7 linked regions of the Cricetulus griseus genome follow. The protein of the gene in region 4 interacts with the protein of the main gene of each other region in a pairwise test. Links are inferred from orthologs where the notes say so. Each region holds a gene or a part of one and is shown on either strand. Other genes may lie near its edges. The genes, in order: Aanat; Smyd1; cytochrome c oxidase subunit 5B, mitochondrial; Bhlhe40; Rbfox1; Rhobtb3; Aamp.

Region 1 (4,156 bases), on a different chromosome or scaffold from region 4:
TTCTGGTAAGTGGACGCAATGCCTGACTCTTTGTGTGGATGTGTGTGCATGTGTAATGGAGGCCAGAGGTTTGGTTTGGGTGTCCTTCTCGGGAACCATCTACTTCATCTTTTGGGATAGGGTCTCTTGCTGTTCTGAAGCTCACCAAGTAGACTAGGCTGGCTAAGGGAGCCAGTGAGCTCCAGGGGTTCGCCCATCCTGTCTTGCCCGTTCTAGGACTGCAGATACTGGCAATGGGTACTGACTCTGGGTTTTTCTTATGTTTTGGGGGGATTGTGCTTAGGCCCTCATCCGGGAGCTATCTCCACTGCCCACCTAAAATAAGAACATTTTTATTCTATTTATTTAATGTGCGTGTGTGGGTGTGAACATGTGTGAGACAGGGGCAACTTGTAGGAATCGGTTCTCCCTCTCACTTGGGTTCCTGGGATCAAACTCAGGTTCTCAGGCTTGGTGGCAAGTCCCTGTACCTGCTGAGCCACCTCACCTTAACTCCCCAGCCCCTTTTGAAGGCAGAGACATGGAAGGCATCTTTATAGGGTGTCATAGGAAAGAGGGTACCCACAGGGGCATCTGCCATGAGTCTAAGCTGGTGGACAGTCTCCCTGAATGCCCCCCATACCAGGCCACTCTCCAGTCTCAGACTCTTTAACCATCTTATCCCTCGTCTCCTGAGCATGACCTAGTCTTGACGTCATCTGGGGAAACGGGCGCTCAGCCTCACATTAATTAAAGAGCTTTTTCTCCTGGACTAAAGTCTGGGGCAACCTAAAAGGAAGGAGAGATGACTCAGAGATTAAGAGTCTGTATCCCTTTCCCTGAGGACTTGAGTTCGGTTCCCAGCACCCACACTGGGTAGCTCCAGCACCAGGCCCAATGGCTCTGTCCTCTGTGGGCTCCTGCACGCATGTGGCATAGCCATCAGATACACCTCCTTTAAAAAACAAGAACCAAACATTCTCATGGCCACTGTACTATCTCATACAGAAAGAAGGCTAGAAGTCTCCTTTTGGGTGAGAGAAGCCTTATGACCTCAGTATCAGAGGCCTGGGTGTCTCCCACAGATTCAGGAGAGGAGGCTGGAGGTTCATGCAACATTGCTCCACTGTCCCCTTGGGCAACAGGGTTGGGGTGGCCACAATCTGCCAAGGCTCAGGTACCTGGAGGGCAGTGGAATCTGTCTGGAGCATTGGACAACTTCTCAGAGGGACCGATAGCTCTTTTGTTGTTGTTGTTTATAATTTATTTATTCTTATTTTATGTGCATTGGTGTTTTGCCTGCATGTGTGTCTGTGTGAGGATGCCCTGGAATGGGAGTTACAGACAGCTGTGAGCTGCCATGTGAATGCTGGGAATTGAACCCGGGTCCTCTGGAAGAGCAGCCAGTGCTTTTATCTGCGGAGCCATCTCTCCAGCTGACCTCTAGCTCTTGAGTGAAAAGAGGAGATACACTAACATTCCAAGTTCCTGGAATTTGCCTGGAGGTCCAGGCACCTGAGGACGGCACTATCCCCAGAGATACCTGACTTACATTCTTCAAGACGAAGGCCAGGCTCCCTGTCTTCTCTCACAGGAGCTTAGAGACCACTTCTGAAGCTGGAGAACCCCAGGGAGGGTTCAGCGACCAGATGCCCATGTTGAGCATCCACTCCCTGGAACCTGAGGCCATGCACCTGCCGCCTGGGACCTCAGAGTTCCTAGGCTGCCAGCGGCGCCACACACTCCCTGCCAGCGAGTTCCGTTGCCTTACCCCCAGGGATGCTATCAGTGTGTTTGAGATTGAGCGTGAAGGTGAGTGGCTCTTGGGAAGGTGCTCGAGGGAACTGTTGTCTTCCCCTGAGGCTCCTGCCTTTGGGAGTTAAATTTGAGAGAGAGAGAGGACTGAGGGAGGGAGGGAGAAAGGGAAGGAGGGAGGGAAGGAGGGAGGGAGGGAAGGTGCTCTCGAGTAGGAGGCAACAGCCCAGAGTCAATGCCTTCCTGGAGGGGGGCGTCTGAGTGACCACTCGTGAACACAAACAGTGAGCAAGTGGCATAGCAAACAGTCGCCCATCCTTGCCTTCCGCCGTAGCCTTCATCTCTGTCTCTGGTACCTGTCCCCTCTACTTGGAGGAGATCCGACACTTCCTGACCCTCTGTCCAGAGCTGTCATTGGGCTGGTTTGAGGAGGGTCGCCTTGTGGCCTTCATCATCGGCTCACTTTGGGACCAGGAGAGACTTACTCAGGTGAGGGCAGGGTGAACTCCTCAGAGATGGAAGTCTCCTTCCCAGCAGGGAGTAAATGCAAGCAGCAGACCCTCCCAAGGCAAGAGCCCTCTGCCCAAGCCTCTACAGCAGGGTTCTCAGTCTTCCTGATGCTTCGGCACTCTAACACAGGTCCTCACGCTGTGGTGACCATAACATTACTTTTTGTTGGGACTTTTATTACTGTAACTTTGCCACTGTTATGAATCGTAATGTAAGTACCTGTTTTCCGACAGTCTTAGGTGACACCTAAAACTGCCGCTTTAGAGTCTCGAAAGACCACTGAAGCTTTGTCTGTAGGAGTGTAGATGTGGCTCACAGTGGGGCCCTGTCAGGGTAAGAAGGGAGCCTGGGCTTCTCCCGGTACCCGGGACACCCTTCCTCTTGGTTAGGGTTGGGTTTGGAGGAGCAGGTTATCAGCAGAAGTAACCCTGACATCGTCCCTTACCCACCCCAGGAGTCACTGGCACTGCACAGGCCTGGAGGCCGCACGGCCCACCTGCACATACTGGCAGTGCACCGCGCCTTCCGGCAGCAGGGCAAGGGCTCTGTGTTGCTATGGCGATACCTGCACCACCTGGGGAGCCAGCCAGCCGTGCGCCGGGCTGTGCTCATGTGCGAGGATGCACTGGTGCCCTTCTATGAGAAATTTGGCTTCCAGGCTGTGGGCCCGTGTGCTGTCACCGTGGGCTCCCTCACCTTCACGGAGCTACAGTGCTCCTTGCGGTGCCATGCCTTCCTGCGCAGGAACAGCGGCTGCTGAACCAGGCTGCCTGCTTGGCCATGGAGAGGTGGGAGCAGCAGGCTGGGGGTTCCTAACTCCCATGCCACACCCTCCTCTGCCTAGAGCCCATCCAAGTAGAGCTGGCTAGCACGAAGGGAGACAGCAGCTGCCAACTGGAGTAGAGAGGTAAGGGTCAGTGAAGAGGACAGGAGGTAGCTCCGCCCCAGGGCAGGCTGCCACCTGCCCCCAAAGGCCCTCTTGCATTCTGAACTGTGCACAAAGCCGAGACCAGGATAGGCAATCAGTGCAATGGCAGGATTGTCCCCACACTTCCTCCTCTACCCACTCTGTTTCTGCATCCCACATCCCAGTGTAGCTCCCTGATTCCTGCGGTCCTTGCCCTCCCCAGACTGACACCCCTTCCTGGCTCCTCACAGGAATGAGGGCCAGCCAGGAGCTTAATTTGAGAAGGGCCTGGGGCTTGGACCTGTGAATGGTGGCGAACTTGGAGTAGGGACATGCTGTGGGGCCACGCCCACTGCACCTGGGCACCAGTGTGCCCACCTACCCGCTCGCCCAGACTTGCCTTCTATTCTGGTTCCCCCTAATAAAGTCCCACTAATAAAGCAGTTATGTCCCAGTGGCTGACTTATGGGTGTGTACAGGGTCTTCTAAGTGAGCTGACTGGAGAAGCAAACACTGCCTGATCTCCCGCTAAGAGTGCCTCTGCCAGAACAGGCCATTTCTGCAGATGGTCAGCCCTCTGACTGCCCGAGAGCAAAGGCAGAGCAGTTGGGGTTAAAAGGTCTCAGGGCTCTACATGCAACCCAGGCCTCGCAGGGTTCTCGGCGTCTTTGTGATGATCGAATCTGGTTTTGGGCTCAACGAAATGCCAGAGAAATCCTAAGTTCTCTAGTTTGCCTCAGCCCCGTGGCTGCTGCCCTCTCACCTAAGTGTTTATTTTTTAAATTAAAAAGAAAATATTTTTGATAGGGTCTTACTAGATAGCTCAGGCTGGTCTAGAACTCACTATGTATACCAGGCTGCCCTCAAGTGCCACCATGCCTAGCTTTCAAAATGAAAAACATTAAAAAACTTTATGTACATGTGTCTGCATGTCTATCTGTGTAGCAAACATACAGATAGAGTTGGATCCCCTGGGACTGTAGTTTCAGGTGAGCCGCCATGTGG
Region 2 (3,702 bases), about 27 Mb from region 4:
AATGGCCTTTGAGTCTAACAGAGAGTGGTGTACTTCACCCCAAGGGCTTTCTTGCTGACTGTTAGGTGGTACATTCCTACAAAACGAATTCTGTGTCCCAGAGACCCACAGTGTCACACTGTCACCTGCTGACTGGGGATTTGTGGTCCAGGAAGACATGCTCCTGCAGGGAGAGATTTCTCCTCTTGCTTGGCACAGTGCGGGCCCTACTTCTTTCTGTTTGGGTAAGAATTATTCTTAGAAATGTGCACTTCTTCTAGCTGAGCAGTGGTGGCGCACGCCTTTAATCCTAGCACTCGGGAGGCAGAGGCAGGTGGATCTCTGTGAGTTCCAGACCAGCCTGGTTTACAAGAGCTACTTCCAGGACAGGCTCCAAAGCTACACAGAGAAACCCTGTCTCCAAAAACAACAACAACAACAAATGTGCACTTCTAGGTTATCCAGGTGCCTGGGAATCAAAAGTTTCTACACAGAGCCCAGAGCACCATGGGGAAAGTAAGGTTCAGGTTATGGTGTGGGAAAGATTAGTATCTGGGGATATGGTCCCAAGAAGAAAGAACAATGGGTGACAGATTTCAGGTCGGTAATAGATGTGATCAGTGAGTGGGATTTGCGCCGAGGAATGAGATCGGGAGTCTCAGGTCTTGAAGAATATGACTCCAGCAGATAGAACAAGGAGGCTGCTGAGGCTAATGGAGTTTCATCCTGTAGATTCCTGAAAGTTTCCATGGCCCCGTTCTTGATTGGCATGCCCCATACACCCTGCAAATGCTTTTAATTACCAGTATCCTCACCCATTTTGCTCCTAGGTCAGCCTACACACCTAACCACATCCCAGCACGGACAACGCCAGCAGGGCCAGCAGCACCTGGGAGCTCTCAGCTGGAACTCTAGTGCTAGGCTGAGGTCCTAGCAGTGGCTCCTGTGGAGGTCTGCATTGTCAGTGCCTGTGTCTGGGCTGCAAGAAGGACATTGTACAGCGAGCTCACTGACTTGGAAAACCGCCTCTTAAGACACATGCTGTTTAGCTGCAATGCATCTTGTCAGAACTTCATTTTTATTCTTGTTCTCCAGAGAAACCAGAAATAATTTTCCACAATGTGTAAAGTTTGGAAGATCAGGGTTTTTTTGTAATTAAATATTGAGGAGCTATGCAGGGGCCTGTGGGCCTTTCCTCACTGCTATAGATGCCCAGTGTCTGTCTCGGACCTAACGGGGTGAGTGCAATTAAGGACCTGAGACCTTTGCACTCAGCCTGGCATCCTGAGGGCTGGGAATGCTGCTGTTATCACCTCTGCTGACCCAGCCTGACATTTGGAAATCCCAAGCCCTATCATAGGGACCAGCTCCAACCTGATATTCTCATTGGGCACCTTCCCGTATCTCTTGATGGCGGAACACTCGTTCTTGTGGTTCAGCCAAGCATCCTTCTGGCACGTGCGGTCGCAGTAGTGGGCGAACTTGCATTGGCCACAGCGGTGGAGCTTCTCCTGCCTCTTGAAGCAGGTGTGGCACACAACGTTAATGAGGCTGAAAGTGGAGAGGGGGGAAATTCAAGTCAAGAAGAAGGGCTGGGGCTGGAGAGATGGCTCAGCAGCTAAGATCAAATACTGCTCTTGCATAGGCATTTGGTCCCAGCATTTATGCGGGTGGCTCATTACCACCTGTAATGACAGCTCCAGGCAATCTGACACCTCTGGCCTCAGTGGCCACACACTTACACCTACATATACACACATTCACACCAGTTGTGGTGGTGCATCCTGGCACAGGCAGGAAGATCAGGAGGTTTTGGTTTTTTTTTTTTTTTTTTTTTTTTTTTTTTGCCAGCCTGGCTACACATATTCACATATTTAAAAAATAAAAATTAAATCATTTTAAAAACAGGGGATGCCTTTGGCCATATTTTGTTGCAGATAACACATTACCACAAACTAGGTAAGCCATAAAGAAAAGAGACCTAGCCTGGCGGACAGCATACCTGAAACCTCAGCACTTGGAAGACAGAGGTGAGGGTGGAGAGTTTGAAGCCAGTCTGAACAACAAAAAGAAGAAAACAGATTTACTTTGCTCACAGTTAAAATTGTCTGCTCAAGGATTAATTTCATCCAGAAGAGACATTTAGCATGAGACCTTCGTTTTGAAAAGTGCAAGTCTAAAATTCAAAATGGTAAAGACCATATTCTGAGTCAAAACTGGAACCCAGGTCTCCTGCCTGCCAGTAAAGTGCCCTTTCCATACGCCCTGCTACAGTTGGAGTACAGTCTAGATGTGTGAGTTGTAATTGCCATTTAGAAGTGTGGAGGCAGTGGAAACACTTAGACTATGTGTTTTGAGTGGGGTCTTCAGGAGGGAGGGTTAATCAAGATGTCAGAGTGGAGCTACTCTCCCATGTATGCATATGGAACCAGCTTGTAGCTTAGCGGTAGCATGCTCAGCATAGACAAGGTCCTGGGTTCAATCCCTAGCACAGTAGTAATAATAATAATGGCAACAATAATAACAATAACCATATATTATAATAATAATAATAATGATAAGCTGCAGACATAGCTCAGTGGATAGAACTATTTGCCACCAAGGCTGACAACATGAGTTAAATCTTGAGGACTCACACAGTAAGAAGAAAGAATTCCTGCAAACTGTCCTTCGACAGTTTTCACAGTGTTCACCCATGTGTTCAACACACACACACACACACACACACAGAGAGAGAGAGAGAGAGAGAGAGAGAGACAGAGAGAGAGAGACAGAGAGAGAGAGAGAGAGAGAGAGAGAGAGAGAGAGAGAGAGAGAAGTATAATTTTAAAATGCCCCCAAATAATCCATTTTAAGAGAAGAAAGGCTTACAAATAGGGAAAGTTTTAAGTCACAGCTTCAGAGTTATTGTCCTTGGTCGGTGGTCCCTTGCTTTTAGGCCTTCATGACAAGTGTGCATGACAGAGGAAGTCACTCACCTCCTGGCAGCTGGGAAAAACACCCCCTCACAGGCACACTTCCCACCTCCTAAAGGATCCACTACTCCCAGCAGTGCTACAGGCTGGGACCATGCCTTCAACACTGGGCCTTTTGGGGTACCATTGAGGTCTAAACTGTAGAATTCTGCTGTGCTCCCTAAAGGCTTATGTCGGTCTCCCAAAGCATCCAATCCACCTCTATGCTAGGTTCTGACATATACTGCATTAAGATAGCCCCAGATCTCACTGCCAGAGAGCCACTCAGGGCACTCGGTTGTCTAACTGGAAGTGTAAGCTTCACATTTATTCCAGCTGCTCTCAGTGTGGCATTCCAAACTTCCAAGGTCATTTTGAACTGTCTGGTCATCTTTTATACTGGTATCCTGAGCTTGGAGTCTTCCACAAGTCTGAGAGCCTGACGTAGGTTGGGAAAGAAGCCGGACAAGTATCCGCCTCAGGCTGGGAAACACCAACTTAAGGCAGGAAGGCAAAGGAATGGACCAGGACAGGATCTGAAGAGGACAGGTTAGACACAGACACAGTCATGCTACCTGTCACTTTTAACTCCACACATTTCTGTTCAGAGATCCCTTAGGACTTCTCTGATATCTTATTTCCAAACTGATGTTTTAGAACATTCTAACAGCGACTCTTCATATTTTTATTCATATATACACATCTGTATCTCATACTTGAAAATTTTACCTATATTGTGTACTAACCAAAAAAATTATGGAACACAGTT
Region 3 (4,073 bases), on a different chromosome or scaffold from region 4:
GATTCAGGTTGAAAAGTGGCTCAGTAGCATGTGGCCCAGTTATTCAATCATTACTACTGCAAAAATAAAAACATCAAGATCCGGGGCTCAAGAGATGGCTTAGAGGTGAGGAGCACTGGCTGCTCTTCCAGAGGTTTTGAGTTCAATTCCCAGCAACCACATGGTGGCTCACCACCATCTATAATGAGATCTAGTGTTCTCTCCTGTCCTGCGTGTGTACATGCAGGTAGAATTCTGTATACATAAGAAAAATCTTAAACAAAAACAAAAACACAAAACAAACAAACAAAACATATCAGGATCCAAGCAAGGTCCAAATATTGCCATTGCTTTCACCCTTTAAAATCTTCCTTGGTTTTTGCCCCCACCATCCTTATATAAAAAAAAAAAAAAAAAATTAAATAAAAATCTAACAGCTCTATACTGGTTTTACATTCTCAGTAGATGTCAAGCCAGTATTAAGAAACAACTGATCTCAACATAAAAAAAAAATCTATAGAAGCCGGGCAGTAGTGGTGGAGCACACCTTTGATCCTAGCACTGGGGAGGCAGAGGTAGGCAGATCTCTGTGAATTCAAGGCCAGCCTGGTCTACAGAGTGAGTGCCAGGACAGCCAAGAATACACAAAGAAACCGTGTCTACAAACAAAACAAATAAAACCTACAGAAATAAGACTAGCCACCTATGGGAGGAGCCAATACAATGGCTAGTCTTTATTAGAGATAAACTTTCCATCACATTCTGAAAAGTTAACACAGAGGCTCAGTGGACCAGTTGGTGGGGCACCAGCTTATAATGGGTTCCACAGCTGGGGCATCGCTGGACCTCGCCTTTGTGCAGCCAAAACCAGATGACAGTGCAGTTGTCCTCTTCACCTGAAAGGGAAAAGGCAGCTCAAAGTCATCCAGCTCCAGCGTACAAAGGGAGACTTACAACATTCATCTTTTCCTACAAACACTTTAGAGAAAAAACCCAAAAAAACTGTGGTTGACTTTAAGAAGTCACTTCAAGCAAACTCTGCTCTTTCAAATGAAAAAATGGGGCTGAGTTTACCTGTGAGTAAAATAACCTTGTATCAGGGTCACTGTAGGTTCTAACAATTCCATTCCCTACACAGAATCCCAAAGCAGGATCAGTACTTATTTGTATCTCTAGAGCCTAAAACAGTGCCTGGCATACAAATATATTTATATATAAAATCTGGGCTGGAGGCTGGAGAGATGGCTCAGCGGTTAAGAGCACTGACTATATTCTTCCAGAGGTCCTGAGTTCAATTCCCAGCAACCACATGGTGGCTCACAACCGACTTGAATAAGATCTGGCACAGTCTGCTGGCATGCAGGCAGAAGACTGTATACATTTAAAAAAAAAAAAAAATCTGGGCTGGAAAGATGGTTCAACATGTTTTAAGACCATAGACTGCTCTTCCAGAGAACCTGAGTTCAATTCCCAGTATCCCTATCAGATGACTCACAACCTTATTTGTAACTACAGCTCCAGGGGCATCTGACTCTAGTGGCTCTCATGCATTCTGAGGCTTGAGACAGAACACTTAGGACAATTTATACCAGTATTTTTTATGCACATATAGTCAGTCACATGCACAGATCTGAAGCAATTTACAGAGATTCTGTGTAGCAGGTCATGAACAAATGGACAGACAATAAAGGCAAGGTACTTACAGATGCAGCCCACTATTCGCTTGTTGGTGATGGAAGGGACTAAATTAGGATCTTCCTTGGTGCCTGAAGCCGCTTTTGGAGGTAGCATATTGTATGGATCCTGAAAAAGGCAAGAATTGACCAGTTACTACAGACATCCCCTGCAACTACACTGCAAAGGGGCTGTTCCTACAAGTTGGGTTTCCAGGACCAAATGCTGGCTGACTGGAGACTCCTCTGATCCCATCCAAGTCCAAGGGCTCCAGAAGACACAGGGAGTTTTTCCTTACCAGTCCCTTCTCTGCTGCTATCATGATCTCCCTCTCCAGCCCTGTAGCCTGCTCCTCATCAGTAGGAACACCACCTAAAAGAAGAAAAATGAATTATGCCAACTGATAGGACCACGATGAATACACGCTCAAATGATCAACACGGGAAAGGTGACATTGTAAGCGTCTTTGGTGGGCTCTCAAGTCACCCATTCCCACAGTCCCCTAAGCCCACTGAGTCATGACTCCCAAAGCCTTAGGGGAAGTTTCCCCCTCCAGCCGCCGAGGCTTGCTTTTCGACTTTTTCTAAAAACCAAGTAATCAATGAGAGATAGCTGGCTGGAGGTGGGCAGGGAATCTCAAAATCGGTCCAGTCTTTTCCCACCGCTCCAACAGTCCCTGTCTCTCAAGGTCACCCGGCACCTTCCAGTCAGGGCACTTTAGAATCGGGGTCAATCCTGGGCGGGGGCTGGGCGGCCGAAATTACAGCCAGACCGCTCGGAGCGCAGACTCCGGGAGCGTGAGGTGGTCAACAGGGCCCGAAGCAGCTCAATGGCCGACCCCGCTCGACCGCGCCATCACCAACCACCCCCGAGGCCCCGGACACCGGCCTGGCGCGCCCAGCTGGCCACAAACCTCCAGAAGCAAAGGAGCGTGTCGCAACCGCGCCATGGGGCCCACGAGCCCTCAGGGCCTGCGCCGCCAGAGCTCCCACTCCGCGAAGTAACCTTGAAGCCATCTCGCCCGAGACAAGCAGATGCACTTCCGGGAACGGGCTCGGCAAGATAGGCGGGACTTCCGGCGATGGGCGTCAGTCAACGACCAGTCAGCCTTCCGCTTCCTCCCCCGGCCTGCCCAGGCCGCTAAGGTAGATGCTGCGCATGAGCAGCTCTGCCTCTGCGCCCGCCGCGCAGACTCCGTCAGCCTCGGAGGCGTGGCGTCAGTCACCATGGCAGCTGGCGGCTTTCGGTTTTGCCACTGTTGCGCTTGCGTGCTCGCGCCTGTGTGTCCCGGCCACATTGACGTTCCTGTGGTGGAGGTGCTGTTGGAAGCTGAAGTCCCCCTCAGTGGGGACTTGCTGCACCACAAGTGACACAGATGGGCTTGAGCTCGGGAAGCTTTGTTTGACGTGCCTGTTAGTCGCCGGTTCGGGTCCTCAGGCAGAGCATTAGCCATCACCAATCTGTTGCGTAGTCCCACCCTGTCAGAATTTGACGGGACCTCCCCACAGTCTCGGCCTCAGTTTCCTTCCCTCCTTCCTTCCTTCCTTCCTTCCTTCCTTCCTTCCTTCCTTCCTTCCTTCCTTCCTTCCTTCCTTCCTTCCTTCCTTCCTTCTTTTTTTTTAAGGCAGGGAATCACTATGTACAATCAACCCTGACTGACCCGGAACTCGCTTGTTGATCAGACTGGTCTCGAGCTCACAGAGATCTGGCTACCCCTGCTGGGATTAAAGTATTGGCATCACCTCAATTTCCTCCTTTAACAGTGTCATTAGAAGTGATGGTGTTGGCCCCAGGGATGGATGCAGGATACCTCCTGGTGGCCACTCTGCGAAGTTATGATCAATGAGGAGGATTCTAGAAGGAGGAAGGAAGGAAAGTTAATAATGCAATTAGAAATCACAATAGTTACAGTGGACAGAGGTCTCTAATTTAAACGGAAAACACATCCCATTGCTCCCCACTGCACACTGCAGGTAAACTGTGAAAACTCATGGCAGGACGGCTAGAGGACTTTCAAACACAACTGTGCTTCCCTAATTGTGCTCCAATACCTTGTAGAGGTCTTGCATATAATAATATCAAATAATTTCTAGTAAGTCTGGCCGTTTGGACCAAATATAAAGCTTATAGGTCAATTTGAGGGCAACTACAAAGGACTAAATTCCTGGGTGTTGCCACCTGCCATGTGTAGATTATTTTCAACATTTTTATAAGTTGCATTGGTCACAGTGTCTTATCACAGCGATAAAAAGGTATCTAATATATACTTGCTTCTCACTCTCATAGATTTCCCTAAAAAGAGGAGAATTTTGTCAGGACTTGTCCAGCTCAAGAAAATCTGACCCTCATTCTGGTCACCAAGATCAGATGTGTGAAGGCTGAGAAATGGCACAGTCCATAAAATGTAACCACGGGACCCT
Region 4 (4,246 bases):
TTGGCCTTGGCCAGGACAGAGAAGAATGCCTGAGGGGTACTTGTAAAGGATTCCCCCTGGCCTGTACTGTATGATCTGGAAGGGAGAGAAAGAAGGTCAGACGGTGTCTCTGAGTCTCTGAAACTCCGTAGAAATGAATGATGAAACCAGTGGTTTCACTAGATTGTGCAATTCGACAAGATACCTAGTGGCTATTCAGGGAACCACAATGAAATACAGGGGAGAAAAAAAAAAAAAAAAAAAAAAAAAAAAACTACTGTCATCCTGCCAAGACTGCACCCTATATCCAAAGACAAGGAAACAAAGAAACAGGAAAACACTAGGGGCAGACCCTTGTTCTGTTCACCCATGACCGACGGCTCAGATCAACTGTAAATCACCCACAATGCAAATTACAGGAGTCTTGGCATTTTAAAGGAGAATGGGGAAGTCTCCCAGATCCTAGACACTCTCAGGCCAAAATGTCACATTTCATCACTGGACTAATATGTATTCATTCCAGGTGGCACACAGCAGCATTCTGAATGGAAAGTATGACCTTTTAGGAAACAGAAAAGCATCTCTTCTAGTGGATGTGCGAAAGTGAATGGTGACAGGAGGGTCAGAAGCACAGTGAGCCCAGGGCTCTAAAGAGGGAGCACTCAGAAGATACTATCAGACCCAACACTCACCAGCTTGCAGACCGCTCTGCAGGGCAATGATTTTTTGCTGCTGCTGATCAATTAGATTTGTCAATGCTTTCACATGCTTCAAGGTGAGCTCCAGAACCACTGCTTTCTCCAAGTGGCCCAAAGTCTGGAGGAAAAAAACAAAGAGCTTCTGTCACCTGTGAAGTCGGAGAAGTCCCCACAGACACTTATTTGTGATGAGAACTGGGTGTAAACAACAGCAAAGACAGGAAGGGCCTTTCCCGCTTTACTAAGTTTAAAGTTTGCAGATGTTTTAACATATACACATAGATGACCAAAGGATTAAAAACAAACAAACAAAAAAACATGTGTCATCTATCTTTGGAGGCCTTTTGGTAGCTGTTACAGTCTCAGGAGTGAGCTGACAGATAGATTTCTCCAGCAGCTGCCCTGACCTTAACTCAGGGGACTCCAGAGATAGCATTTCTCTGCTGTGGTGTCAACCCAGTGAGGAACATCTACTGTGTCTGGCAACCAGGAGGCTTTCCCTCCCCTCCCGTGTGTGTGTGTGTGTGTGTGTGTGTGTGTGTGTGTGTGTGTGTGTGTGTGTGTTTCCCTGACACCCTTTTAGAACTTCAGCTCGGCTTTCCCTCCCCTCCCGTGTGTGTGTGTGTGTGTGTGTGTGTGTGTGTGTGTGTGTTTCCCTGACAGCCTTTTAGAACTTCAGCTCATGAAGGCTTTTCATCTTCCCTTCCAAATACTTTTCACGAAGGAATAGCTAGAAAGCTTTTGGCTACTAGTAAAGGATATGACGGAAAGAAACACACACACACACACACACACACACACACACACACACACACACGGGATGGAAGATGGAAAAGGAAAAGGGCTTAATTTGTGTTTGTGTGTGCGAGTGAGCCTTTAAGTCAGAACTACAAGGCGATGGAAATTACCAAAAGGGAGCTATGCTAGTGTTGGAACCAACTTAAAGAGGCCTCAGAGAGTGATGGTTCTGCCTTTGCCTGGAAGTCCTGGGACTAGGGATGGGTTCCCTCCAACCCAGAACTACCCGGAGCTTTGATCCGCCCGTCTAGCCTGCAGTTCCTCGTGACGCCTGCAGGCGGCGAGTGACCCCCACCCGCCCTCTGGGCAGAAGAGCTGGGTTGGAGCAAGGCCAGCTTCTCACTTACTGTAAGTTTGAGGTGTTCGGGTAGAAGATCTTTCAGCTGGGCAATGCACTCGTTAATCCGGTCACGTCTCTTTTTCTCAATCAGCCGATGCGGCAATTTGTAAGTTTCCTGCAAGGAGTACGTGGAATGATGGGTGCCTGGGAAAGGGAAAGCGAAGCCTCCCTTCCTCCCCTCCCGGCAGCAGGGAAAAAATCCTGCAAGGGCGCAGATCAGAGACGCACCCAGAATCACCTTTTCTGTCCCTTCTTTCCCAAGTCACTCAGGTGTGACAATGAGCTCACCACATCTTGAACCCCCAAGCCAACCTCCAGGCAAGCAAACTTTTCTTGGAAACTCAGCGCACGCGAGGGACTAGGGAAGGGGTCCCCAGAGGATGCACCTACCTTGCTGTCTTCGCTCCGTTTTATCCCCCTTCTGGACTTGTACACTTGGTACATGTGGGCAAAATCCATCCTGTAGGGAAAGGGGACAGAAAGAGCCGTGACTCCCGAGTGTGCACTGGCTGCAGGAGCCCTACTGATGCAAGAATCCCCGTGTTCCCAGAGGTGCCCCAAGTTGAGAGAGGCGCAGAATACATAGCTAGGAGCGGAGACTTGATGGGGTCACAGTGCACACTTACCCTGACAGGTCTCCGTGCTCCAGTCCTGGCGCTTTAGGCAGGCAGGTAGGAGGTGGTTGCGCGCTGGGGATCCGCTCCATGATGCGGCGAGCCGGGGCCACTGCGCGCTCCTGTCTGCACTTAGCAGAGCGTCCGAGGGAGGACTGCCCTGGAAGGGAGGATCCGAGGGTCTCAAGGGGTATGTTCCTCTGAGCTAGCCTGAGCTCCCTTGCAATGAGCTGGGCTGCCAGGAGCCGCGGCTTTGAGGCGTCGCTTAGTTGGGGGCGTGCATGGCCGGGTGTCCCCGCGGCTTCTGGCTCCCGCTCTGCGCACAGACTGGCGGTGTGTGCTCGCTGCGCTGTCTGCGCCTTGCGAGCCAAGTGAATGAGAAGTGGGGCGGGCGGGGAGGCGGGAGGGAAGGGAGGTTGCTTAGGGCGGAGCGGGGGGGGGGAGTTGTTGGAGGGGAAGAGCCGAGGAGTAAGGAGAGGCTGCGGGCTGGGTTAAATGGGAGCGAGTGGGTGGGTAGAAGCTACGTGTTCTACCCTGTGACTCCAAGCACGTCTGGCCGCTGCCGGGGAGGGAAGGAGCGACCTGCCCGCCCTCCCCCGGCTTCATCACATGAGTCTCACGTGTTGGACAACGCTCTGGCGGCTGCGAAGTGCCCCCCCCCACCCCAACCTCGGGCCCCAGGTGTCTGCGGCTGCGGCCTCCTTTCCCCGAAAGAGGGGGTGGCAGCGCAGCCCGAGTCCTGCCCAGCTGGGTGGGGGGCACGGAAGCTGGAAGGAACTGGGGGGGAGGGGGGTTGGTAACGTGGGCGAACCTGCCCCAGGGAAATGAAGTAAGTTCCCGTCTCCTGGGAGGGAACGGGGGAGGACGGATCCGCCCGCGTCTGACTCAAGCCGGGAGAGGAATATCCCCTCGGTCGCTCCAGCCCAGCCCTCTTCCTCCTCCCCCGCCTGGCCCGCTCCTAGGAACCGGTGCGCAGCGGAGGGAGTCGTCGCCCCCCTCTTGGCCTTCCCCAGAGGCTGGGGTTTCTTTCCGTCCCCGCTTCCCAGCCCCCCCCCCTCCCCAGCGCTCACCCCAGTGTCCAGGAATTGCCCGCCTTGGGGAGGGACCGAGGGCGGGGCGGATGTCACCCCATGGGAAGCGGGCAGGCGGCCAGGCGCTAGGGCAGCCGAGGCCGCCGCCGAGCACGCCGCGCGCACCTGACCGTGGACCGTGTGAGCTGCGCCGGCCCCTCACTCTCCCGGGAGCTCAGCTCCGGGGCGCAGCCTGCGGGTGGCCCGGCACCCGACTGGCGCGCACCCATCTCCTCCCGCCTTTCAGGGTGCCTCACTGCCCCCACCCACCCTGGCTAGTCAAGCACAGAAAGATACCGGGCACAGTGCCCAGCGTTCCCTCCCTCCTCTGCCCCCTCCGGAGCAGAGGCGTCCGGGTCGCCTCCCCTCCGGCTGCAGCGTTACACAACCGCGGCGACGGCGCCTGCCCTGCAGCAGCGCGGGGCGTGACGCTTCACGTGGCCCGGACGCGGGTCGTAGCTCCGCTCGCTGCAAGCCTCTGCACCGGCATCCAAGCTGTGACCCCCGCGCACAGGGGCTGCCAGCCTGCAGGGGATCCCGCTGCTAACCAGGAACTTGGGTGGCGCTGTTTGCGGTCTATTCCAGGGCAGGAGGAGAAAAGAAGGGGAAAAAAATTTAAAAAACCTCTTGGCCTATCAGAGTGAAATCTCCACATTTATGAAGCACACATTCACTGAGCCCCTTTCCCATTGTTAGACTTCGTGCTAGAGACAGTGGAGAATCAACTGCGGATTTTGACCTTGAATT
Region 5 (4,369 bases), on a different chromosome or scaffold from region 4:
TCTTATAGTATCTAGGAAGGAACGGGTTGTTAAGATCAAGGCCAGTGAACACATATAACCGAGTCATTTTCCTTGAGTGCTGGGTAAGAGATAGTCCCTATATAAGACTTCATTCTAAGATAAAATATTTCAGTGAGGACCCAGGAGTCCCCAACACATGAGACCGTGTGCATGGATAAAAACAGGATGAGAAATGTTTCACAAAAGATAGGAGGATTTTAATTATTTTTGTATGTAAACTGGCGATGAAGAGGACAGTGGTTTCTGACACATACCTTTTTCCTACACACAAAATTTAATTCTTCTAATGAAGGTATTGTTATTCATAAATGAAGCATGATTCAGTCATCTATTTGATGAATATGCTTTGAAAGTATGAACTAGCTCTCTGCTTATCAAATACATGGATATGTAATATTAGCCATAGATTAGTAGCAGAAAAAAGTATAGTGGTTCCACACGGGCAGAAGATGTGTAGTCTGTACTGATATGTGGCCTGTGGAGATGAAAGGGACTGTCTCCTCTGTAAATCAGCCAGTTTTCTGACCTTGACTTTGAATCATGGCGTTAAAAGGTCAGAAGAGATGACCCCAAGGCACAGGTCTCTGATAGTGAATTTTAGGAAAGGGTAGTGGTGGCAGCTAAAAACCTTGATTGTAAATAGGACAAGCAAAAATAAATGTCTGCCCGTTTTTTATACTTCAGAATTTTAGTAAACCTCAGTAAGGGACATACTTCTGTCACTCTCACCTTTCTGACCCCATGCCTCACTCAGTCGTGGGGAGAACACATTGAGACCTCATTTCAAAGACCGTCCCCCATCTACCTTCCTGGGGAATCGTGCTGTTGATTTAGTCACCTCTAAATATTTGTTATGGCTGCCAGCACTTCCTGTGAGGCTCCTCTCCAAAGCAGGTGCATTCCACAGTGGGAAAGATTGGTGCCACATGATGCACCCTTCCTTTTCACAGAAGAATAGATTCTTGTTCAAAGCCACTGTCCTCCTTCCTAAATTCTTCAATGAGCAAACCAGTTTAATGATGAAGCAGAAATACAGATTAGTTAAAACACATAAGCCCCAGAAACAGAGTAAGCACTGCGCACTCATAACATTCTACGTCTTAAATAACATAATCCAGTTGATTCATAAATAAAATGAAAGGCACAAATATAGGATAAAAAACCAGTTGCTCTAGTAATTTGTTTGATTCAATCCAGCTGAGGTTTAGCAACTGAAGAAATGTTTACTGGAATGTTTCTGTGACAAATAACTGATGTAAAATGCACCGGCACTTGACACACACTCACAACTGAGGCAAGGAAATGGTACATGCTGATGAATCACATATATTATCAATACCTTCCTAAGAGATGGTTCCTGGTATGATTGACTAAATGGGAAACAAAATAAAACAAATACATGTATAAACCAATTTATTCACAAGATGTTTTTAAGGAGCTATTCTCAAAAAAAGACTAGCAGCAGTAAATATGAGGAGGAAAAAAATTGGCAACCGAGCTGATAACAAATTACCCGAATGTTCAAAACAGAACCCCTGACATTTTATGAAGACATATATTTCTGTAGCACAAATTAGAGTGGGACATCTTGGAGGAAAGGGGCTCCTTTCAACTCTTGGAAAAGAAGTTTTGTTAACACACACATGTAACCAATCTTATTCTTAAAGTGAATTCATTGAAAGGCAGGCAAAAGGATTACCCCCGGTGAAAACTTCATAGGACAGGCCAAAGTGAGTCGGGTCATGGATTCCCACCAGCAGACAAAACCCCTCTAATATTGCCAACTCACTGCCACAGACCCCGCCCCGTGATACAGCTGGCCTGCTTCCCCACAGGACAGTGTTAGGTGGTTTCCAAAGCCCCGGAGTATTGTACTCGGCAGAAGCCTTTCTAGTAAGAGGGAGGAGGAGACCCATTGAGGCCCAGAGCAGACACTCAGAGCAAGAACTGAATCCAAAAATTCACAGATGTGGACTGGGTGGGAATGAAGCCAACAGACATCTGGCAAGACCACTGTCAGGGAGTGGACAGGCCTGGGTTATAGAAACAACCAAAGAAGCAAACAAACCACCCTGTGTTCCGGCCAGTCAAGACAGCATCTACCCATGCTCACCCAATGCTGGGGAGTTTCAAAGAAGATTGGGTAGGGGGGCTGTCAAGCTCCAGATATCCCAATGTACTGATTCTTGTGGATGGATAGATAACACAAACTTAACAAAGATCTCTCTCTCTCTCTCTCTCTCTCTCTCTCACACACACACACACACACACACACACACACACACACTACATGCACACTTTGTGTCAATCATTAAAACAGCTGAATTAAAACTACAAACATCAGGATGTCTTCACAGAGCCCCAAACTCTCTCAACATCCTAGAAATCTCCCCTCACCCCACCTCTGGGACTTCTGACATGAGAAAAGATGCTCACAAGAAAAAGCCAGTTTTTTATTTTCAAATTCCCGGTCCCTGAGGCTGGAAATCGGTGTTCACAAAGTATTCAGACAGGTGAATTAAAATAGCATCGTGGCTTAACGGAAAACCAGAAGCTCCCACCAAACCTCGTCCCAATGATCGAGACCCCCCACCCTCCACCCCCCAACGCGCAGCCCACTGAACCGGTACCCAGTCTGGTCAAGCTGAGAAGAAGCTGCCGCTGAGAAAGAGCCGCGCGTCTTACCTGCTGTAAGTACATAAAAGTCAAGGCACACGAGAGCTGGGGACACATGCCCACGTTGGGGAGTGCCACGCAGGTGGCCCCCGTCAGAGGATGCTGCATCGCGATTCTCGGGTGCCCGCAGAGCGAGAGCGGAGATGCTCACATACAATCTACAATCGCGTTGCTTTTTTTTTTTTTTAACCCTCTTGCCTAGTCGCTACAGTTTTTTTTTTTTTCTTTTTAATTTTTGCTGATTATCTAACTCACGCAGCAGTGGCTGTCCCTCTTCCTCTCTCTTCCTCTTTCGTCTCTCTCTTTCTCCCTCCCCCCACCGCACCCCAAGAGAGTCCCTCCTCCCTGGCTCTCCTCGCCCTCGGGTTTGCTAGTACCCAGCGTTCATCAGCCTTCAACTAAAGACACTTGGAGAGGCTGGGAAGTAGTGTTGGCTCCCCTTGGCTTATTGGGCCTGTTGTTGGAGCGCTCTTAAAGTGGAAGGTGCCCCTCATCCCACCCACCTCCGCCACCCCCTAAAGGTGACAAAAATGGGCAAAGTCGACTTCTATGAAAGACAGGGGTTAGGATGCCCTGATAGAGATGCTAGAGAGGGAAGACAGGGATATGTAGTAGGGAAGGGGGAGGAGAAGGAAGGAAGGGAGAGGAGAAGAGGGGGGAGGGGTTGGGGAGAGAGAGAGAGAGAGAGAGAGAGAGAGAGAGAGAGAGAGAGAGAGAGAGAGAGAGAGAGAGAGAGAGAGAGAGAGAGGTTTTGACTCACAGCTTCACTGTAGCTCACTCGCTTGGTGCTGATGCTGGGAGTCTTCTCATTTGTCAAAGAGGTCCAGGGGCAGGGTTGTGGGTTTCTTTCTTTTTTTAAAAAAGGACTCGCCAAAATTTAAATTTTGCCTGCTAAAATCCTCCGATGGGAGGGAGAGGGCGAGCGAACGTATGAGCGCCCCACATCTCCAGCAATCAAAGGAGCTGGACCATTAACAAGACTGCTCAGCTGGGACACTAAGGAGCCCGGGAGATTTTCAGCTGGCGGTTTGTTTGCCTGACTCGTTGGCAAATAAACACAAGAAAGGGATTTCCCCTTTTGTAAGAAGCTTGGGGGTGATGGACACGCCAGGGGTTGGGGTGCTGTCTGTGCAGGGGTGGGGGCTCGAGGAGGTCTCTGCCCCCCCCCCCCCGCCCCCCGCTGCTCTAGGGGCACTGCTTTCTCCCTGGAATCAGCCTACCCGGGGCAAGCAGCCCCGAGCGGTGCGGCTTAACTGGAGAATCCACGCAGCTGTTACACTAAAATGCCAGCTCGAGGTGAATGCAAGGGGCCTTCTCCCAGCCTAGAACCCGTTGCTCTTCTCAAATTATAAATACACGGGGTAGACAAAAGTCCCTGTCTTATAAGAGATTACTGTTCGTGATGCAGAGAGCAAATTGAAATGGTTTTATTTTATATTTTCCCCTCTTGCCTGGCCTCCTTGGCCAAATTAACATTCCACTCTTGCAGGCAGATCTTTCCCCCTCCCCTTTATCTTATGAAGTAATAATTATTCATTAGTAGATTTCGTTAGTCTTTATGCAATAAAAAGGGATGTGATCTGTGAATTAAGAGAAAATATGAAGACTCTAATTCGTCCTTGATTCCCACAAGGGGGGAAATCCTGGCAATAGTAAAATCATGATCAGGAAT
Region 6 (4,214 bases), on a different chromosome or scaffold from region 4:
CATCCTATTTGATTAGTGTATACACTGAAGGTCCTGCATTAGTATAAACTTTGATGTGAGAAACTCTCCCACGCCTAATATAAGTAATATATGACTACACTAAAGCTATAATATGCACTTTATTATAGCAGCTATCACTTTTAGCACCTACAGCCTCCACACTTGGGACTTTACCCTTCAGCACGGTTCCAGGATAGACAGGAAAACAAGCCTAAGAGAAGGTAAAAGATTTACAACAAAACAAAACAAACAAAAAAACATATGCAGTGGCAATGTGGGATCTGAAATCAGTTCTCTTTGCTGTCAAAAGTGCTGTGTTTGATACTATGATTCAGTACCTATGCCAAAACAGCTGATGGGTATAACCCACCTTCATATTTCTGGCAGAATTTACTTATGTTAAAGGGGAAACAGCAGCTCAGAGTGAGTGACTCTACGCATGCAACTCACTGTGTCTGAAGACCCACCCATCCTAATCTGGGAAATTGTACCTGGTGACAATCTTGGTGTCACAGATTTTGTTTCACCTATTTTATTCTTATACAATGTGCGGCTCTTTGCTAAAGGAACACAGGCAGGAAAGGGTTAACAACTCAACCCCCCCCCAAAAAATGAGGAAAAACAGCCCCAACACTCCTAGTCATCTTATTTTTGCTCTGTATTTATTTCCTCAATCAACTAAACATTTGTTCAACAGTATGTTGAACAAGTAATAGTTGAAGGCCATTAAATCTTTCATAATAAAAGGGCCCAAAGTGAATGTCCTGGCACATACATCAGTCCTTAAGTCCTCCCTAGTGGCATCTTTGGATACCATCATCTCTGTCATACCTGAAGGCTAAGTCCATCCTTTTAATTGAAAAGTTTACTTAAAATTTATTTTAGCACATTAATATACATTTCCAGTAAAAGGGGTGCCTTCTTTCCATAATAGGAAAATATGCTCAAGAAATTTTTCTCAGTACATTCTACACATTTCTGTTCAAAAGTAAGCTAGTTACCCTGAGCTCTGATTCAGCTTAAAAAAAAAAAAAATGCCTTTTGGACCAGCACAGGAAGATTTGGTGGACTTTGCAGAGCCCCCGTTGAGGGTCCTACCCTGCCTGGGGAGTGGTGGGTGGATGGAGTGGGGGTAGGCTGGGGGTGGGGGAGGAGGAATGGGGGTGAGGGGAGGGAGAGGGAGAGGGAGAAGGGACTTACATGTGAAACAAGCTTGTTCCCTAACTAGAACTAATAAATAAATTAAAAAGAAAAGAAAAGAAAAGACGCCTTTTGAATGTAAGAATTTTACATAATTTGTGCCTTGGTTGAGACCCCAATGTTTCATTCATATATATTTATCTTTAGCTGAAGCACATATAACTACACTATTAGCAAGCAACCACCTACTTAAAAGTAAACAAAAACACTTGAAATACAGTGTTACTGTGTGATGAAGATACCTAAGCCTCCTTTGTCCTTTCATCAAACACTCGAGAGTCAGAATAGATTTCTTTCATTCAAACTCTCATAAACATAAAGATTTTTTTATGCTAGGTAATGTTAGTGGTATTTCTGATTTATTAATCATTAAAAACAAAGCCAAACCGATGAGTATTGCATCACTAAGAACTAGATTTTTTTCCAGAAGTCAATAGTCTACAAAACGAGCCATTTAAACTTAGTTCTCAAACCCCGACCTTTCTCCCTTTTTCCATACTATTTCTGACCTGTCCCTGAGAAGAATATTTTTGCCTATGCTGAGCGGTATTTATAGAACACATTTCCCTATCCTCCACAGGGTGGACATGAAAACATGTCTCTTGGCCAGTGGAACTTCGTGACCCCGTCCCTTGGGGTTGGCCCAGTCAACTCTCAGCTGTCTACTAATGGACAAGTCACAGTCGTGAAGCACAGTGACTGCTCTACGTTCCCCTGGGGCTTTCAACTTTGCAGACGTGTGCCCCACCACCTCCAAATTGAAACAAAGGACGAGATTTGCCAAAAAGAAAAAAAAAAAGAAAAAGAAAAGGAAAAAAAAGGAAAAGTAAAAAAGCAAACCAACCCTCTCTCCAGGCAGTCAGGAAAATAGGAAACAAGGGAAGGAGGGGTCCAAACAACAACAGGCTCCTTTGGCCTGGACACCGCGTAGTCGCTGCCCCTTACCCAGACGGGACAGTCGTGCACTACCAGCTTGACGTTCCCGAACGCACTGGCCTGGTACTCGGTGAACACCGGGCGCGCGACCGTGCTGGCCGCGTTCAGCAACAAGCTGCTCTCGTCCCCCGAAACCAGCGGGCTTCTCCCCAGATAGGTGCGGATGAGCCCCGACGGCCGGCTGTCCTGGTGGAACGTGTCGCCTTCGTTCCCCAGCGCCACGATGTGGATGGACCTGCGAAGCCGAGAGAGGCGCGGTGAGCGGGTGGGCGCAGCCAGGGCGCGTGGCACGTCCGGAACCCGGACCGTGGCAGGACGGCGACGCGTACGTACATGATCGCGGCTGGCAGGGCGGCGGGGAGACGGCAGCGGGCGGCCTCGCCTCGCGAGGACCGGGTAGACGCTCTCCCCGCAGTCAGCTCATCCCCGGCCGCGGCCCTCGCGCGCCTGCACCGCGGCGCTGCCAACGCTGAGCAGAGCGGGCCCGGGAGAGCGGCCGGCGCGGGCGCGGGCAGCGCTGCAGATCCCCGGTCGCCGCCCCTGGCCGCCGCGCCTCCGCCCCGGCTCCGCCTCCGCCGCGCGGTGACCCGGCCCCGCACGTGTCCCCCCGAGAGTCCGCCGCGCAGGGGAGCGAGCTGCCTGCCCGTACCCCCCCTCCCCCACGAGTTCGGGCGGCGGCCGCGGGATACAAAGGAGCGATGGGCGCGGGGACGACGCCGGAGCCCGGGAGCTGCTCGCCGCCAATCCGCCTGCAGCAAGTTTGCTCAACTCGGAAGGCTGAAACCCGAGCCGGGAGCGGGGGAGGGGCAGCTTGGCCCCCGCCGGGGACCAGAGGAGAGCAGGGCTGGGGGGCAGCCCCCTGACGATCCCGAGGTCCTGTGCCCACGTTGGCCCTCACCCGCAGTGTGTTATCGTTTTGTCAGTGGTCAGCATGCGCTACACTGTTTTGTAAAAATCCTAGTTGGGAAGCAAAAGAAAATAAAGGCAACATTCATGAAGCTGCAGAAAAGATTCTTTGTTCACGCACCAATTAATTTGTCGATGTCGCTTTGAAAAGGTCATTTACTATTGCAAGCTATATTTGGCATACTTTAACCAAAATTGCGGAATTTAAAGTGTCGGGATTTTTTAATGTGATTATTTTAAAAGAAAGTTCTAGCAGTTTATTTGGATTCTTTTCAGCACACATTCCAGTTACATTATTTAATAATAGCTCACTGAAAAATAAGGACCATGTTAATGGAAGGATACTTTCGATTCTTTCATAGTGACAGGCAGAAATAACGCTTTCGGATGCCCCTTTTAAAGGGCCTCAGGCTGCCTCCAATATAAAACACCATGAGAGACTGCTGATGCTAGGACGGGCCAGGATTTACTCTGGGGCTCCTCCATAAACATTAAAATTCTCCCAAACACCCAAAACCCTGTTAAAAATGTTCTTGTTTATCCTTTTAGTTATTGGCTCTGCTTTGAAATTGGGCTTTTTTTCTTTTCTCAATGGACCCGTTTTGGGAAACAGGAGGTGTTTGAAAGGGTCCTGGGAAGACTGAGGTAGTGTCAGCAGCTTTTTATTAGGAACCAGTATTGCTAGTCTGAAACAGTGTTTTAGTTACTTGTCCATAGGTAGGGCAGGACAGGAGACATTCTCTATGTCGTTTGTTTATTATTCCTTTCTTGTTGCCTGAGATGGCTCTGTGTTATTCAGGCTAACTTTTAGTCTTCCCTCCTCAGCGTCCCAAATAGCTGTAATTAGTCATATATTAGTAAAGAAGGTCAGTGGGGAAAAAAAAAAAAAAAAAAAAAAGCAAAAACTAATCTGGTCTATATAGTGAGCTACAGAACAGCCAGAGTTACATAGTGAAACCCTGCCTCAAATAAATGAGTTCCCTTTGTACCCAAGTACAGTTTCTTTTAGTCTCTGGAAATAAGCATCCTGGAAGATTCAAATGTGCTGTGTCACATTTCCTCTTGGACCAACAGAAAACATGTTTTTCTCAGCATTCCCCTCCAAGGACCCAGCAGTCAAACATAGAGACACATAAATATGAACTTTTTTTAGATGGTTTTTCACTATATTG
Region 7 (4,467 bases), on a different chromosome or scaffold from region 4:
CCCTGGAAGGTCTTACAGTCACCATTCGGTACCTTCCACATCCAAGTGTTGCCGTCAGCTGTGCCCGCTAATAGGACAGGTGCCCGAGGGTGCCACTCCATCCACTGGGCAGAGAGGAAGGATCAGCAAGCAAGCCTGCTACCCAGCCAATCTGAGAGTCCATGAACCCCACCCATGTGTCCCTGCTTCTAGGGTTAGCATGTACGTTACTGGTGAACAGACATAGTGCTGAAGCTGAGCTACTATGGTTACTATGGTTCAAAGCAACCTTCTCCAGTATGGCTATGCCTGCCCCTCCCCCTCTGAGAAGTGCTCATCCCTACTTGAGGTCCCACAGAGTTGAAGCCCACTCCAAGGATCTCACCTCCAGGTCTCCTGCTTCAAAAGACCAGACTTCTTCCTTAGTATCAACTTGCCACACTTTCAAAAGACCACTCATGTCCCCTGTGGCCACTAGGGTGGAGTCATGGCTAAAACCAGCACATGTCACAGAGTCTTTATGGCCTGCAAAGAGAAATGGGCAGACTTTCAGTTCAAATGTGCCTGAGGTGTAGCAAGTTCAAGGCTAGCCTTGGCTACATAGTAAATCCAAGGCCAACCCAAACTATGTAACTTAAAAGAAAAAGTGGCAGAAAAGGAAGGACAGTAAAAGGTGTCTAAATGCTGGGGACATATGACCCATATATTTGGCTACCTTTTAAAAAACAACTAACTAGAAAAAAGGTAGGAGGGCCTCAGCAGAACAAGTGACCAAACTCACTGTAGCTCCAGGGCCCAGAAACTCCAGGTGTTCCAAGAAGATACTGTTGACCCCACTGTTCAACCACCCAAAGCCTGGGACTCCCAGGCCATACTTCTGTCTTCTGTTCTCCGTGCCTCTATCTACTCCTACACAGTACCACCTCCTCCCGTGCCCACCTTAGCCACACTCCTTTGGCCAATTAGCACTTCCTGTCCAAGTGCCCACAAAAGTTATTCTTCTAGTGTGGGTTCCTGGATCCAGCACAAGACAAAGGCTAGTAAATAGCCGCTGTGCGTTCACACAGGCCACCTGCCAAGATGTCCAGAGGGACACAACCTCCCAGCCTCTTACCTGCACACTCGAAGAGCAGCTCTCCATCACTGAGTCTCCACACAAAGGCTTTGTCATCTTCACCCCCTGTCACTGCCAAGGTGTTGGTTTTGGGGTCCAGGCTCACGCAAAACACAGATGCTGTCCCAAGAGATAGTCCACAAGAAAGGGGATGGAACTGGGCTCTCACCTAGAGTTCTGGTCTTCAAAACCTTTGGGGAGGCACACCCCTTTTCCCCAAGGCCACAGGTATTCTCTCCTGGACAGGCTACACCCAGTAGCAAGACCCAGTTCTTGTCTGAAGCATTAGGTTGTTAGGGAAATCCTTCACAAGTCCTCCTCCTGCTGCTGTCCTGTTCCCATTACCATCCCACTCTGAGGTACAAGCCAAGCGGTGGGTCCATGGGCACAGCTAACAGCACAGGGTTCCACCAGGCTGGGTATGAATTAAGTGATGGGAGCCTCATGAGACTGGCTTACAAAGAACTAGCTCCTGAGAAGATTATCGTTAAGGCTACTTTTGGAGTGTCACTTGCCTTTAATTTCCACCAGGATTACGTCCATTCACTTTCATCTAAGAGGACTTCTTTTGTTTTTCCAGACAGGGTTTCTCTGTGTAGACCAGGCTGGCCTCAAACTCAGAGATCCACCTGCTTCTGCCTCTCAAGTGCTGAGATTAAAGGTGTGCACCACCACCACCACTACCAAGTTGACTTTTTAAAAAGGAACACCAAGATCCAGAAAGCTAACAAAGGTGATAAACAGCAGAGGTAGGATTTGAACCTAGGTGTCTCACTTGACACCACTGCCAAATCTAATCCCTTTGGTCCTTCCTGTGAATTTCCTGCAGGCTTTCCTATTTGTCTCTCATAATATCCTGTTCAGGGCCAACTGGTCATACTCAAAAGTCCATCTGCACTGATCTGAGGTGAGCCCCTTCAAAGGCCTACCTGAGTGCAATGCAAAGGTGACCTCGCTATCATCCGGACCCTCCATGCTGCCGACCACCCCTTCCTGGGGTTCCAGGACCCAGCCCTCGTCATTGCCCTCTTCCTCCTCCTCTTCTTCCTCAAAGTCCACGTCTTCCATCTCCTGGGCCAGATCATCTGCTTTGGGAAAAGCGTTAAAAGATGGATCTCGAAAGATATAAGAGGAATGGGGTGAAGAGTGAATAGGACGACGCCAGAGTGGGTCATGTGGCCAAAGGTTAAGGTGTCGTCCCACACGTACCGAGGAGGAGGAGAGCGCTTGGGGGGCGGAGAAGGGGAGAGAGGCTAGGTCTGAAGACCTGGCGTTGGCCAGCGACCGTGTGGGAAGAGAGGACAGAGGGCATGACGGGAAGGGGGTGTGTGAGGGGAAGGGCCAGGGGAGGCGTCAGGGAACCCCCACCCAGCCAGGCCTCGAAACTAAGTGTGGGGGGTAGGGAAGGAGGGCTGGGAGAGAAATGTCGGTAGGAACGACCGGTAGGGAAGGGGGGAGGGGGAGGAAGCAGGGGTCAGAGGCCAGGGGTGAGCGCCTCCTGTCCCATGGCCTGAGGAGCGACAGTTCTCACCCGGGTCGGGCGGGCCTGGATCCAGCTCTACCACCTCAATGATCTCTTCATCTCCGTGGAAGCTTAGAGTCTCCAGCGGCGGGGTGTCAGCGGCCGCTCCGCTCTCCGATTCGGACTCCATGCGGCGAAACCTACCGATCCACTTCTCTGGGCCCAAACGCCTCCCAGAGTCAGCTCTGCGCGACGACGCGGAACTCGAGCCCCTCCTCCCGGGAGGAAGTAGGCGTAGGCGACTCCCGGCCGAAAGAGCGACGGAATCCGGACCAATAGCGACGGAGGTGGGCTGACAGAGCCGCCAATCACAAGGCAGAACTGGGATGACCAGGCCGGGGCGTGGCGGGAGAACCCAAGCTCCTCCCGACATGACTCCGCCCCCAGCTGGAGGGAAACAAGCGAGCGTGCGCGCCTCCGGGGTCTCCTGGGAGGAGTAGTTCTCCCGGGCCCGCTACGCGGACTTCTGGGAAATGTAGTTTCTGAGCTGTAGGCACGACGGAAGGCGCGGGGGAGGCCCCTTACGCAAACTACAATTCCCGGCGGGGAGCGCAGTGAAGGGGGGTGGGACCTGAACATGGCGGCGGTGGTAGCTGCTACGGCGCTGAAGGGCCGGGGGGCCAGAAATGCCCGCGTCCTCCGGGGTAAGGAGAGGGACCCCCGGGAGGGCAGGGCTCTAAAAGATCCCATTCCCTTCACATTCCACCCAGCACGACAGCAGGAAGTCAGGCTGCTAATTGCTGTCCATACCTCTCGGCAGGATCTTAGAGAGTCTGGGGGTGAAAGATGCTCTAGAGGTCACCCAATCTAACCCCTGCGTTCAGGTTACACTGCATGTCTAGGGTCTTGTTGATAGAGGGAGTCCCAAAGAAGCCTTTCGTCACCCGCGCGTTCCAGGGGTTTCACACTCACCGCAGTGCAGAAGAGCGAGCCCTGGGCTTCTGGAGGCTTGAGTTCTAGCACTGGGTAATTAGCGGTTTGACCTTGTGCGGAGCAGCTCGTCTCTCGGGGCTTCAGTTTCCTCTTCTATAATACGAGGGGATGGAGTTAGCTATCCTTAGGAATAGCTAAGGTCCTGTAGTTTTAAAACAGTTCCCAGGATTTCCTTCATACGTATGTCTCTGCAGTCCTTCCCAACCGGTCTTCTGAATAGAAAGCAGCAAAGCTCGCTGTCCTGGCACGAGGATGAGGATCCCGCAGTGACGTGGAAGTAGCTTCCAAAGGTGTCACCTCGATGGCGATTTTCCCATTTCTCTTTGGATTCTTCACAGCACTTGTTACTCCAAACTGCAGTCACTCCCCTCCCTCAAAACTCAGCCGCTCCTCCCCTCCCTCATCCTATACTGACCTACCCCCACCGTTCTTTTATTCACAGGGATTCTCTCTGGAGCCACAGCTAACAAGGCTTCCCAGAACAGGACCAGAGCACTGCAGAGCCACAGCTCACCGGAATGCAAGGAGGAGCCTGAGCCCCTCTCTCCTGAGCTGGAATACATCCCCAGAAAGAGGGGCAAGAACCCCATGAAAGCTGTGGGACTAGCCTGGTGAGTTTTAACTGCCCCTTTGCCTACCAGTGGGGAATGCACGCAAGGGATGGATGTCAACCTAGAAACTTAAGTTGCAGATGATGAGCTGAGTCCAAAGGAAGAGAATCGCTGGGTTCCAGGGATAGAAGCTCAGAGTGAGATGGGGGTGAGATGGTGAGGGGAACTTTGAGGAGACTGTCTTACGGTGGAGCAACTTGAGCTGATCTGGTTTGAATTTGGGTCACTGGCTTCATCCTTCCTTTTGGGAGCTGGGATAAGATCCCAGTCTCAGTAATCACTTAAAATTGTGTTGAAATATGTTGTAT

What was found.
Region 1: the proteins of Bhlhe40 (region 4) and Aanat interact in binary tests that used the Homo sapiens proteins (3 or more experiments, as listed by UniProt). The two-hybrid records come from large-scale screens. The link is inferred for Cricetulus griseus from reciprocal best matches to the Homo sapiens genes BHLHE40 and AANAT.
Region 2: the proteins of Bhlhe40 (region 4) and Smyd1 interact in binary tests that used the Homo sapiens proteins (3 or more experiments, as listed by UniProt). The link is inferred for Cricetulus griseus from reciprocal best matches to the Homo sapiens genes BHLHE40 and SMYD1.
Region 3: the proteins of Bhlhe40 (region 4) and cytochrome c oxidase subunit 5B, mitochondrial interact in binary tests that used the Homo sapiens proteins (3 or more experiments, as listed by UniProt). The two-hybrid records come from large-scale screens. The link is inferred for Cricetulus griseus from reciprocal best matches to the Homo sapiens genes BHLHE40 and COX5B.
Region 5: the proteins of Bhlhe40 (region 4) and Rbfox1 interact in binary tests that used the Homo sapiens proteins (3 or more experiments, as listed by UniProt). The link is inferred for Cricetulus griseus from reciprocal best matches to the Homo sapiens genes BHLHE40 and RBFOX1.
Region 6: the proteins of Bhlhe40 (region 4) and Rhobtb3 interact in binary tests that used the Homo sapiens proteins (3 or more experiments, as listed by UniProt). The two-hybrid records come from large-scale screens. The link is inferred for Cricetulus griseus from reciprocal best matches to the Homo sapiens genes BHLHE40 and RHOBTB3.
Region 7: the proteins of Bhlhe40 (region 4) and Aamp interact in a two-hybrid assay, tested with the Homo sapiens proteins (2 studies listed by BioGRID and IntAct). The link is inferred for Cricetulus griseus from reciprocal best matches to the Homo sapiens genes BHLHE40 and AAMP.

The regions. Positions count from the first base shown.
Region 1 is NC_048600.1:129,173,453-129,177,608, forward strand, and holds Aanat (serotonin N-acetyltransferase), read left to right. Parts: upstream 1-1,347; 5' UTR 1,348-1,628; coding exon 1,629-1,791; intron 1,792-2,068; coding exon 2,069-2,223; intron 2,224-2,698; coding exon 2,699-3,004; 3' UTR 3,005-3,582; downstream 3,583-4,156. UniProt on the Homo sapiens protein: Controls the night/day rhythm of melatonin production in the pineal gland. Catalyzes the N-acetylation of serotonin into N-acetylserotonin, the penultimate step in the synthesis of melatonin.
Region 2 is NC_048601.1:62,932,903-62,936,604, forward strand, and holds part of Smyd1 (histone-lysine N-methyltransferase SMYD1), read right to left. Parts: intron 1,531-3,702; coding exon 1,354-1,530; intron 1-1,353. UniProt on the Homo sapiens protein: Methylates histone H3 at 'Lys-4' (H3K4me), seems able to perform both mono-, di-, and trimethylation. Acts as a transcriptional repressor. Essential for cardiomyocyte differentiation and cardiac morphogenesis.
Region 3 is NW_023276807.1:11,509,008-11,513,080, forward strand, and holds cytochrome c oxidase subunit 5B, mitochondrial, read right to left. Parts: upstream 2,724-4,073; 5' UTR 2,670-2,723; coding exon 2,567-2,669; intron 2,026-2,566; coding exon 1,952-2,025; intron 1,783-1,951; coding exon 1,683-1,782; intron 876-1,682; coding exon 763-875; 3' UTR 684-762; downstream 1-683. UniProt on the Homo sapiens protein: Component of the cytochrome c oxidase, the last enzyme in the mitochondrial electron transport chain which drives oxidative phosphorylation.
Region 4 is NC_048601.1:35,827,383-35,831,628, forward strand, and holds the start of Bhlhe40 (class E basic helix-loop-helix protein 40), read right to left. Parts: upstream 2,845-4,246; 5' UTR 2,522-2,844; coding exon 2,442-2,521; intron 2,276-2,441; coding exon 2,206-2,275; intron 1,931-2,205; coding exon 1,823-1,930; intron 796-1,822; coding exon 672-795; intron 1-671. UniProt on the Homo sapiens protein: Transcriptional repressor involved in the regulation of the circadian rhythm by negatively regulating the activity of the clock genes and clock-controlled genes.
Region 5 is NC_048600.1:39,617,976-39,622,344, forward strand, and holds the start of Rbfox1 (RNA binding protein fox-1 homolog 1), read right to left. Parts: upstream 2,806-4,369; coding exon 2,707-2,805; intron 1-2,706. UniProt on the Homo sapiens protein: RNA-binding protein that regulates alternative splicing events by binding to 5'-UGCAUGU-3' elements. Regulates alternative splicing of tissue-specific exons and of differentially spliced exons during erythropoiesis.
Region 6 is NC_048595.1:297,070,856-297,075,069, forward strand, and holds the start of Rhobtb3 (rho-related BTB domain-containing protein 3), read right to left. Parts: upstream 2,901-4,214; 5' UTR 2,472-2,900; coding exon 2,470-2,471; intron 2,372-2,469; coding exon 2,146-2,371; intron 1-2,145. UniProt on the Homo sapiens protein: Rab9-regulated ATPase required for endosome to Golgi transport. Involved in transport vesicle docking at the Golgi complex, possibly by participating in release M6PRBP1/TIP47 from vesicles to permit their efficient docking and fusion at the Golgi.
Region 7 is NC_048595.1:427,521,441-427,525,907, forward strand, and holds the start of Aamp (angio-associated migratory cell protein), read right to left. Parts: upstream 2,838-4,467; 5' UTR 2,746-2,837; coding exon 2,625-2,745; intron 2,182-2,624; coding exon 2,023-2,181; intron 1,214-2,022; coding exon 1,094-1,213; intron 505-1,093; coding exon 365-504; intron 105-364; coding exon 1-104. Other genes in the region: probable hydrolase PNKD, read left to right, coding at 3,193-3,259, 3,991-4,159. UniProt on the Homo sapiens protein: Plays a role in angiogenesis and cell migration. In smooth muscle cell migration, may act through the RhoA pathway.